3 linked regions of the Cricetulus griseus genome follow. The protein of the gene in region 3 purifies or fractionates together with the protein of the main gene of each other region. This does not show direct contact. Links are inferred from orthologs where the notes say so. Each region holds a gene or a part of one and is shown on either strand. Other genes may lie near its edges.

The links. The genes of interacting proteins can lie anywhere in the genome.
Region 1: the proteins of Atp6ap2 (region 3) and Atp6ap1 purify together in Homo sapiens (affinity purification with mass spectrometry; 5 studies listed by BioGRID and IntAct, counting the BioPlex papers as one, with this or other methods). This does not show direct contact. The link is inferred for Cricetulus griseus from reciprocal best matches to the Homo sapiens genes ATP6AP2 and ATP6AP1.
Region 2: the proteins of Atp6ap2 (region 3) and Atp6v1a purify together in Homo sapiens (co-immunoprecipitation; 3 studies listed by BioGRID and IntAct, with this or other methods). This does not show direct contact. The link is inferred for Cricetulus griseus from reciprocal best matches to the Homo sapiens genes ATP6AP2 and ATP6V1A.

Annotation. Positions count from the first base shown.
Region 1 is NC_048604.1:1,419,039-1,421,603, reverse strand, and holds the end of Atp6ap1 (V-type proton ATPase subunit S1), read left to right. Parts: intron 1-647; coding exon 648-695; intron 696-784; coding exon 785-1,013; intron 1,014-1,223; coding exon 1,224-1,433; 3' UTR 1,434-2,065; downstream 2,066-2,565. UniProt on the Homo sapiens protein: Accessory subunit of the proton-transporting vacuolar (V)-ATPase protein pump, which is required for luminal acidification of secretory vesicles.
Region 2 is NC_048597.1:46,316,953-46,320,400, forward strand, and holds the end of Atp6v1a (V-type proton ATPase catalytic subunit A), read left to right. Parts: intron 1-851; coding exon 852-1,023; intron 1,024-2,627; coding exon 2,628-2,720; 3' UTR 2,721-2,948; downstream 2,949-3,448. UniProt on the Homo sapiens protein: Catalytic subunit of the V1 complex of vacuolar(H+)-ATPase (V-ATPase), a multisubunit enzyme composed of a peripheral complex (V1) that hydrolyzes ATP and a membrane integral complex (V0) that translocates protons.
Region 3 is NC_048604.1:118,221,884-118,225,383, reverse strand, and holds part of Atp6ap2 (renin receptor), read right to left. Parts: intron 3,012-3,500; coding exon 2,892-3,011; intron 1-2,891. UniProt on the Homo sapiens protein: Multifunctional protein which functions as a renin, prorenin cellular receptor and is involved in the assembly of the lysosomal proton-transporting V-type ATPase (V-ATPase) and the acidification of the endo-lysosomal system.

The DNA of each region.
Region 1 (2,565 bases), about 120 Mb from region 3:
CTAGGCAGGGAAGGAAGGACTGTGTTATCACATATGGCCTTCTTGCCACTGTGAGCCCAGTACAGGGCAAGAATGTAGATCAGGTGTGTCTATGTTGGGGGTGAAGAAGGTCTGTTCACCAAGGACTTGAAGATAGTATCACGGGGTAATGTTACTGGGAGGTTACTGGAGAGGAAGCCTCACAAGTTTTACCTTTCCATGCTTTTTAGGCCTTGGTTGTTGGGTTCTGGGTTATTACCCTCACACAGTCCCTTGGAACCCTAGCGCTTCTTTGAACTCAACCCCTGGGACTACATGTGAGCAAATAGCAGACCAGCCGCCAAAACCAGTTCTAGGCTTCCTATACCTGAAACCTCAGCAGGCAGCTGAATAACCTTAAGAAGGGGATGAAAGAGGCTCAGGGGACTCAGGAGAACCAGAGGAAGGAATCCTAAGCTGGAGATCTGGGACCTAGGTGCAGATCCCCCAACTGTTCCTGATTTGCTTATGACTGGAGCCTTAGTTTTCCCATCAGATAAATGGGGACACTGTATTGGCAGGTGACTGTAAGGATGGATTTAGGACAGCTTAGATTGGACCCAGCCTGAGGAGAACCATACTCTAGGTCCTTCTAGAGCCTGACAGCACCCCTCTGCCTTGTCCCACAGGCTTTCACTGACCTATGAACCACTCTTTGGTGCAATGGTGACATTCAAGTAAGTTCTGGTGGTTGAAGTGTGGCTTGGCTGGTATGTCTCCATTGTCTTCTGTTCATCTGACAATCTCTGCTACCCTCACCTCCCAGGTTCATTCTGGCTAGTCGCTTCTACCCAGTGTCTGCCCGATACTGGTTTACTATGGAACGACTTGAAATCCACAGCAATGGCTCTGTTTCCCATTTCAATGTTTCCCAAGTCACGGGACCCAGCATCTATTCTTTCCACTGTGAGTATGTCAGCAGTCTGAGCAAGAAAGGCAATCTCCTTGTGACCAACGTGCCCTCACTCTGGCAGATGACTCTTCAGGACTTCCAGGTATTAAAGGGGGAATGGGCTCCAAGCTGGTGGCAGTAGGGGGAGGGAAGAAGAGCCCAGAGAATTTCAGTATGGCTTGAGCATGTAGCTGAGAGTTCCATCCTTATGCTGTCTCTGAAGGTCTAGACTGTTCACTGATTCCAGAACCCCAGCCCTTGTTGTCTGTAGAAACTTGTGGTCCCTTCTGATCCATGTCTATGTGTCTCCTAGATCCAGGCCTTCAATGTGACGGGTGAGCAGTTCTCCTATGCTAGCGACTGTGCTGGCTTCTTCTCTCCAGGCATCTGGATGGGGCTGCTCACCACCCTCTTCATGCTTTTCATCTTCACCTATGGCCTGCACATGATACTCAGCCTCAAGACCATGGATCGTTTTGACGACCACAAGGGCCCCACCATCACTTTGACACAGATTGTGTGACCTGTGCCAGAGAGAGATTGAGGGAGTGTTGGTGTCTAGGTTGTCATGTTTGCATCTTGTGGCATAGTGGATAGAAAGTTTTTTTTCTCTTCGATAGCATGAACCCTGCAGTACCCTCAGCCTGTCTTGCTTCCTCTTCAACCTACTGAGGGACTGGCTTCCCTGGGGCTATCCCCCATCTCTACCAACAAAGTGTATATATTCTTCATAGATATTAGACAAATCTTCCAGGCTCCATCATCATGAGGGGAAGGAACATTAATTCTAGGGTTCCCTTTCTCCCTTTCCCCCTTATTTATTCTTGCCCCTCCGCTACTTGCTGTTTATAGTGCTTCTGTGTAATTAATGCTCACTCCCCAAGCTTTATGAATCTTCCAGCAACAGCAATAAACTTGAGGTTCCTTGAGTTTGAGATGTATGGAAAGACTACTTAACTGTCTGTCCAGCTTGGCTGTTGTGTTTTTTGGGTGACATGTTAAGAATGATCTGTACACTGGGGTTTATTTCTGTAGCCTGAGAAAGAAGAGACCTCCACAAGGCTTATTCCCACTAGGATTGTCTGCCAAGAGATGGGGATGGGGGTACTCTTTTTGTTTCCCTTCCTAATAAAATAAAGACGTGTTGTCATATGTGTTGGGCTTCGGCTTTGAGTCACTCATTTCTGCACTTGACAGTAGATTTGTTTTTGACTGAGGGGAAGAAGTGCCCAGGTGTAGTCCTAACAGGTGAGAGGGGAAGGGTGGGAGAGTCTTCATCAAGCTGATTGATACTCTTAACGAGTTAAGGTAGAGGCCCATTATTTCTCCTGGCCTTGGGGAGAGTCCTTACAATGAAAGATACAGGCAACTGCAAATACCACAGGGCCTTGCTGTTTCTCCCAGAGGGGCGGTATGGGATCGCGCCAGGAGGGATGGGACGGGGCGGGGCGCTCTCGGCTCCCGCGCATGGATCTTCGCGGGACGCAGCACCTGCCACGGACCCGCCCCGCCCCGCATTTCTCTGGGCTCGCGAAGATCTGCGTTGCCCCCGAAATTGTACTGGTGCGGAGACTCAGGCGCTGGAAGCCCTTCCAGAAAATAAGCGGGAGAAACGGTGGCATCGCTAGGGTGTGGCAGGGCCCGAGGAGGGAGAG
Region 2 (3,448 bases), on a different chromosome or scaffold from region 3:
GACTCCATCCAAGACTAAAAAGAGCTAGGGAACCGGCTTGATGTGCCTGATTTCAAGCCCTCCAAATCCACACAAAGCCAAGCACAGTAGCACACATCTGTGTCCTAGGATGCTGGAAACAGGACTTCTAGGAAGCTAGTGTGGCATACACAGTGGTAGACTGCCGAGACTGTCTCAGAGGAGGAGGAAGGCACGGACTGATACCCACGGTGAAAACTGAGCAAATAGGATTGACCAGAATGCCAATATGTCAGTTAGCCTCAGAAGTCTGATTTGTCCTGAACTGAAACACCACATAAAGAGAATGGGTAGAATTCTTCAGAATGACTATAATAAGATACATGGAGTTGAGTGTGTGTGTGTGTGTGTGTTTGTGTTTGCTTGCGAGCGTGCATGTGCTTGAGTGTGTATGCTTTTAAAAGGTATGGGCAGATAAAAATGAGTATACTAAAGAGAACTGAAGGCTGGGGCTTGGGGAGGGGGTGATAGCTTACCTGGGATACCCAAGGCTCTGAGTACACGGAGGAGGGAGGGATAACAAGGTAACTTTAGCAAGTTTGCAATTCTCTGCTTTCCTATTATTCATTAAACCTTGACTCTGGCCACAAGGAGTCTTACAACTCAGTTGTTTTTCCACTTGAGTTACATATTTAACTTCTTGTACCCAAACAGACTGCTGACAAGTCATTAGTGTGGCAGTACTGCTTCATTGTTTTCTGTTCAATAATTGGAAGCAGAATATATGTTTAAAGAAACTAATGGCTGGTAATTCATGAAGTTTCATATAATAAAAATATGCACTTGCTTTGTAGGTTGTTTTTGCTAATTGCCTTGTTGTTCATTTTCCCTAGGTTCTGTCCATTCTATAAGACAGTGGGGATGCTGTCCAACATGATTTCATTTTATGATATGGCCCGTAGAGCTGTTGAGACCACTGCCCAGAGTGACAATAAAATCACATGGTCCATTATCCGTGAGCACATGGGGGAGATCCTCTATAAACTTTCCTCCATGAAATTTAAGGTATAGTTTCTTTCTACTCTGACCTTTGTTGGCAAGAAGCCAACCTTCCTTCCTCCCTCCCTCCCTCTCTCCCTCCCTTCTTCACTTTCCCTTCCTTCCTGTCCTATTTGAGTTCCAAACCTGAGGTATGAAATTTGCATTTTTCTTTTTGAAGACCTATTTTCATTTGATTTATGTGTATAGATACATTTGTTGTAAGTATTGTGCCACTTGTGTGTGGTCACCTGTGGAGTACAGAGTGGCTGTTGGATTACCTGGAGCTGGTGCCTGCACACAGTGTGGGTGCTGGGAACTAAGCTTGGGTCCTCTGGAAAAGCAGCAAGTTTAACTGCTGAGCCATCTCTATGTTCCTGAAATTTGCATTTTTCATTTTATAATACTTAGGTTGTATAAAACCAGAACAATCTTCCAAGTTATGTTCAAGCAGGAATTCCAGTGGTAAAGATTGTACTATGTCATGTTTGTAGGGTTGGAAAGAAGGCTCAGCAGTTAAGAGCACTTACTGCTCTTGCAGAGAGCCTGGATTCAACTCCTAGCACCTATATGGTGGATACAACCGAAACTCTGAGGATCTGAGTTTGCTGACACCCAAGGATTACTGCACACAAAGGATGTACAGATATATACTCAGGCACACACACATACACATTAAAAAAATATTATAGTATGCCATGTCTAAAATAAATTCTAATGTGTTTGCTCTCTGTCTTAGCTACTAGTCAGCATAGAGTAACGTCCTAGCTGGACAGCAGTTACTTTAGTAAAGTGCCTATTATTTCATCTAGCCTCCACTTTCTCATAAACAAAGTTTAACCAGTTAAGTGAACTTACCAGTAGAAACCCAGATATAGGAGTGTTTTAAAATATTTGATGAGTTGGATTACATTGTGTTACTTCTTTTTTTTTTTTTTTTTTTTTTGTTCTTTGAGACAGGGTTTCTCTATTGCTTTGAAGCCTGGAACTCACTCTGTAGACCAGGCTGGCCTCAAACTCACAGAGATCCACCTGCCTCTGCCTTCCAAGTACTGGGATTAAAAGTGTGTGCCACTAACACCCGGCACATAGTGTTATTTCTAAGTCACGCATAGGCACATGTAGTAATCACCCACTGAAAACGATGCTTTGAGCATACTTGTACTGTAGAAGCACAGACCTGGAGGCCACTAAATGGCTTAGTGGGTAATGGTACTTGCTACTAAACCTAATGACCCGGATTCCGTTAAATGTGCTCTATTAGTCTCACTTTTCCGTCTTCGAGTGATGCTCCAGGCCTTCAGGAAATTCACTGAATTTTAACTTCCAGTTCTTGTATACACACATGTGTCTAGTACATGATATTACGAAGTTCCCACTAACATACACATTGCTGAGGTTTGATCATTGAGCATCAACTACAGGCAAGATTCAAAAATGAAATAATGGATTTTGTTTTGTTTCAGTCTATTTGCACATTTCCACTGTAAAAGAAAATAGGGTAGTTTTGACTCCTACCTGTGATTTACCAGTGTACCTCAACTAACCTGGTACTCCGTATTAATAAGTAACCTATCTTACATCTTGAAAATTATTTCCAATAGGTGAATTAAATTTGTATTATTTCTCAGGATCCTGTGAAAGATGGCGAGGCAAGGATCAAAGCTGACTACGCACAACTTCTTGAAGATATGCAGAACGCATTCCGTAGCCTTGAAGATTAGACTGTGTCTCTTTCCTCCTCCTCAGCAAGCTCATGTGTATATTTCCCTGAATTTCTCATCTCAAACCCTTTGCTTCCCTATTGTGCAGCTTTGAGACTAGTGCCTCTGTGTGTTATCATTTGTTTTGTTGTTTCTTTGGTAGGTCTTTAAAACAAACATTCCTTTGTGCCAGTGTTTGAAGGGGCTCCCTGACCTTCATCTGGAGTGGTGAATGTAGTGCATATGGTACACAATGGTACACAATGGCTATGCTACTGTAAACCTGTATGTAAGGTGACTACCCCTTCCCTCATCTCCATTAAACTGTAAACAGGACTACTGCATGGACTCTATTGGGAATGGAAGGCCAGATCTCTGTACCTATGGATAGGTACTGAGGAAATGACTCTGCATTTGGAGTCAGACCACTTGCAACTTAGTGTTTTGTTGAGTAACTGTTGAGTAACTGTTTTGCAAGAAATATTTCCATTTAGAAACATAAAAGATTAATGTTCCAATTATGCATAGCTTCCCCATTATCAATCAGGAGAGATTATGGGGCACTTGGGAACTATTTTGTCTTTATAACAGGCGTTTGCAAGGCTGAGCATAATAGATAAATCAGTTCCCTCTGAAAGTGTGAAAGAAAGAAAGAAAGAAAGAAAAAAAGAGCCAGGTGGTCAAACTTAAATTAACATCATCTTGTTAAAGCATATTTTATTTCACTGAGAGAAATTCAATATCAAGGA
Region 3 (3,500 bases):
AAAGGTGCATTTTCCTGTGGGAGCTTAAAGTTGACACAAAGGATTTCACATCGTCAAGCACTTCATTCTTGGATTTATGTAGATTAACTAAATTGGTTCCTTTTCACGTCCATTTTGAGTGTGTATGTATTGCACAGAATTGTTCAATCCTCACTACAACCTAATCTGAAACCATCACACACTCGGAAGAAAGCTCACACGGGCCTCTTGTCCTCTGTGAAGTAGGACACCAGTATACAGTTAAGGGTACTGTGCGTGCAGGCGAGTGATGGGGTACTGATGGCAGGTGCCCAAGCAGACTGAAATGATATCCCAGGGAATGCTTCATACCCCAAATACATGCAATCTTGGTAATCAGTTCTGTGTTATCTTATGGTTACATTCATGTTATTTTGATATTCTTGGGGTCTAATTTTGATGTTTGTTGCTTTAACTATACTGAACTCCACGGTCAGTTAGCCCTGCCCATGTTTTATATATTTTTGGGTCTGTATTTGGGGGTGTAACTGTGGGGGTCCTCTTTGCACTGTCTGCACTGAACGCATGGCCTAGCAGAGCAGAGGCTTTATATTTACTTCAGCTGGGAGCAGCTTTTCTGTTAACTTCTTGCTTGGAGGCTTCCTAGGCAATATAAATTTAAGTCTCAAATCCACACAAAGAGAGCCCTGGGGTTATTAATGCCCTGGGAAACAGCACATACATAGACCATAGAGTGTCTTTTTGTTTCCTTTGCTGGCTGGTAAACTATCACTATTCCCTTTCACCGGGAGTGCAGCCCTTTTCTTGCTCCCCAGCTTCATAAGAAAGTGTTAGTTCAATCTCACAGAGAGCCAATGCCTCTTGGTAGTCCCAACTGGAAGCCTGCTAACTACAGGTTCCTCCTCTTTGTGGGAATCCCTATTTATTTGAGAGCTAAGCTACACATTTGAAACTGTTTATTTTATGTGCATTGGTGTTTTTGCCTGCATGTATATCTGTATGAAGGTGTCAAGTCACTTGAAGCTGCATTATAGACAGCTGTGAGCTGCCATGTGGGTGCCAAGCCTTCTTTCTAGCTCAAAACTTTTATTTTTTATCTAGCACTTCTAGAGGTTTTTTAGTGGAAACTGGAGGAGGAGGAAGGAAGGAGTCCAGGCCTATAAAGCTGCTTGGACTATTTGTTTCAAACAGTCTTGCTATGTAGCCTAACCTGACATTGAACTCACACTAATCCTCCTGCCTCAGCTTTCTGCCATCACACCTGATTGAAATACTTGCTTAAACAGGTACCCTTCCATCTCAGTTCAATCTGGTGGAAGGCAACAATCTCCAGCTGGCAGCTCTAGACTGTCTACGATCGGTACTGGCTACAGCCTTTATACTCCAACTCCCACACTGGTCCTTAAGATTGAGCATGGAGGACCTTGTAAATAGGTCCACAGGGCTGGGTATCTGATGACAGCAAGTGGTGGGGCTCACCATAAGTGATCTTCATTTTTCTTAGACAAAGTCTCATGTAGCCCAGCCCAGCTTAGCTTCCAATCCTACTCTGTGGCCAAGGATGGCTTTTAAGTTCCTGATCCTCTTGCTTCCACCTTCCAAGTGCTGCGATTACAGGTGTGAACTGCCATACCAGTCCAGTAACATTCTTAACTGGTGCTGCTACAGGGCACCTGCACCACTTTCCCAGCACTGCCAAGTGTGCTGAAGCTTTGTGTGAGACCATGTACCCAGACACCATTTTACCATGGCCATCAAGTTTCTCTCTGACCCCCTATGTCAGTGGCTCCTTTAAATATATGCTGCAATCCTCCTCACCATAAAATTATTTTCCTTGCTACTTCATAACTGTCATTTTGCTACTGTTATGAATTGTAACGTAAATACCTGTGTTTTCTGGTGGTCTTAGGCGACCTCTGTGAAAGGGTCGGTCAACCCTCAAAGGGGTTGTGACTCAGGTTGAGAACCAAAGCTCTGTATTATATACGTTCAGTCAAAGCAAGATCCACACTGAAATACTGATAAGCTACACCAAAATTATAAAGAGGTGTATGCAGAGGGTCCCAGAAAATGAGGGACTGGGTCACAAAAATAGTGTCTCTCTAGAAAAGCAGAATTTATAGGCTGAGAGAGGTACATTACTCCCTTGGAACAATTTCTAATGGCTCCTTAACATGCATAGCCTTACCAGCACTAACAGCTTTGCTTTCACTCCCAGCTCAAGAATTGATATTTAGATTACCTAATGGCAAGCCCAGGGAACCTAGTGTCACTGGTAAAAGTACAAAGCTACGTGAACAGGAAAGCTACATTATCACTGAAATTCTTTCTGATTTGCTAAACACTCATTCCTATCACCTATAGGTAATATAGAATTTCATCCTTTGTTTTTCTGGGTTTTGTTTTTTGTTTTTTCCTGCAGGGAAGATATCGAGACAGACCTCATATAGCCCAGGGTGACCTCAAACTCATTATGTAGTCAAGGATGACCTTGAACTCCTGAGCCTCCTGTCTTTGCCTCCCAAGTGCTAGGATTATAGGCCTACATCACCTCACTCAGCTTCAGAATTTCTAATTTTTTAATTACATTTTATTTGTGTATGTATATTAGTGTGTGGGTGTGGAGGTCAGAGGACAATGTCTAAGAGTCCCTTTGTCTCCTTCTATCATGAGCAATCTTGCCAGTAGCTCAGGGTTTTATTCTTTTTGTTTTGTTTTATTTTTCTCTGTGTAGCCTTAGCTGTCCTGGAACTCACTTTGTAGACCAGGCTGGCCTCAACTCAGAGATTCACCTGCCTTTGCCTCCCCAGTGCTGGGGTTAAAGGCGTGCACCACCATTGCTGGCACAGAGTGTTATTATTTAAAGTAAGTTAATCTCATAGTTTTAAAACAGGATCTAAAAACATACTCACCTCTTGCTCTGTCTCAAGGATGGTCCGTGACTTCCTCACAAAGGATGTGTCAAATGACTTGACAGTCACTAACTCTACCACTGCATTCCCACCATAGAGACCATACATGTCATCTGCAAACTGAAAGTTAGCTATTAACATTATGATGAATGGCAAAATACATAAATTTTGTTTACATTTGCAGTTTTGGTTAACAAAAACCTTATAGAACGGTTCATTGGTATCCATAGGGGACTGGTTCTAGAACTTCTACAGATTATAAACTCTATACTCTTACATGAAATGGTACAGTATTTGCATGGAAACTATGGGTAGCATCCTGTATACCCTAAATCTTCTCTAGAAGATACATGTCACTTAACATTGAAATGCTGTGTAGATAGTTGTTATACTATATTGATTAGGGACTAATGACAAGAATTATGGGTATAGATCTCATATACAAGGTATTGTTTCAAAATACATATACATTGTGGAATGGGTAAATTAGCTAGTTAACATATACACTACTTCACATACTGATTATTATTATTGTGGCTGGTCAAATCAGTATTTGTTAAAATTATTTGTAGCTTTATAAATAATTACATAGCATGTAATATTAATATA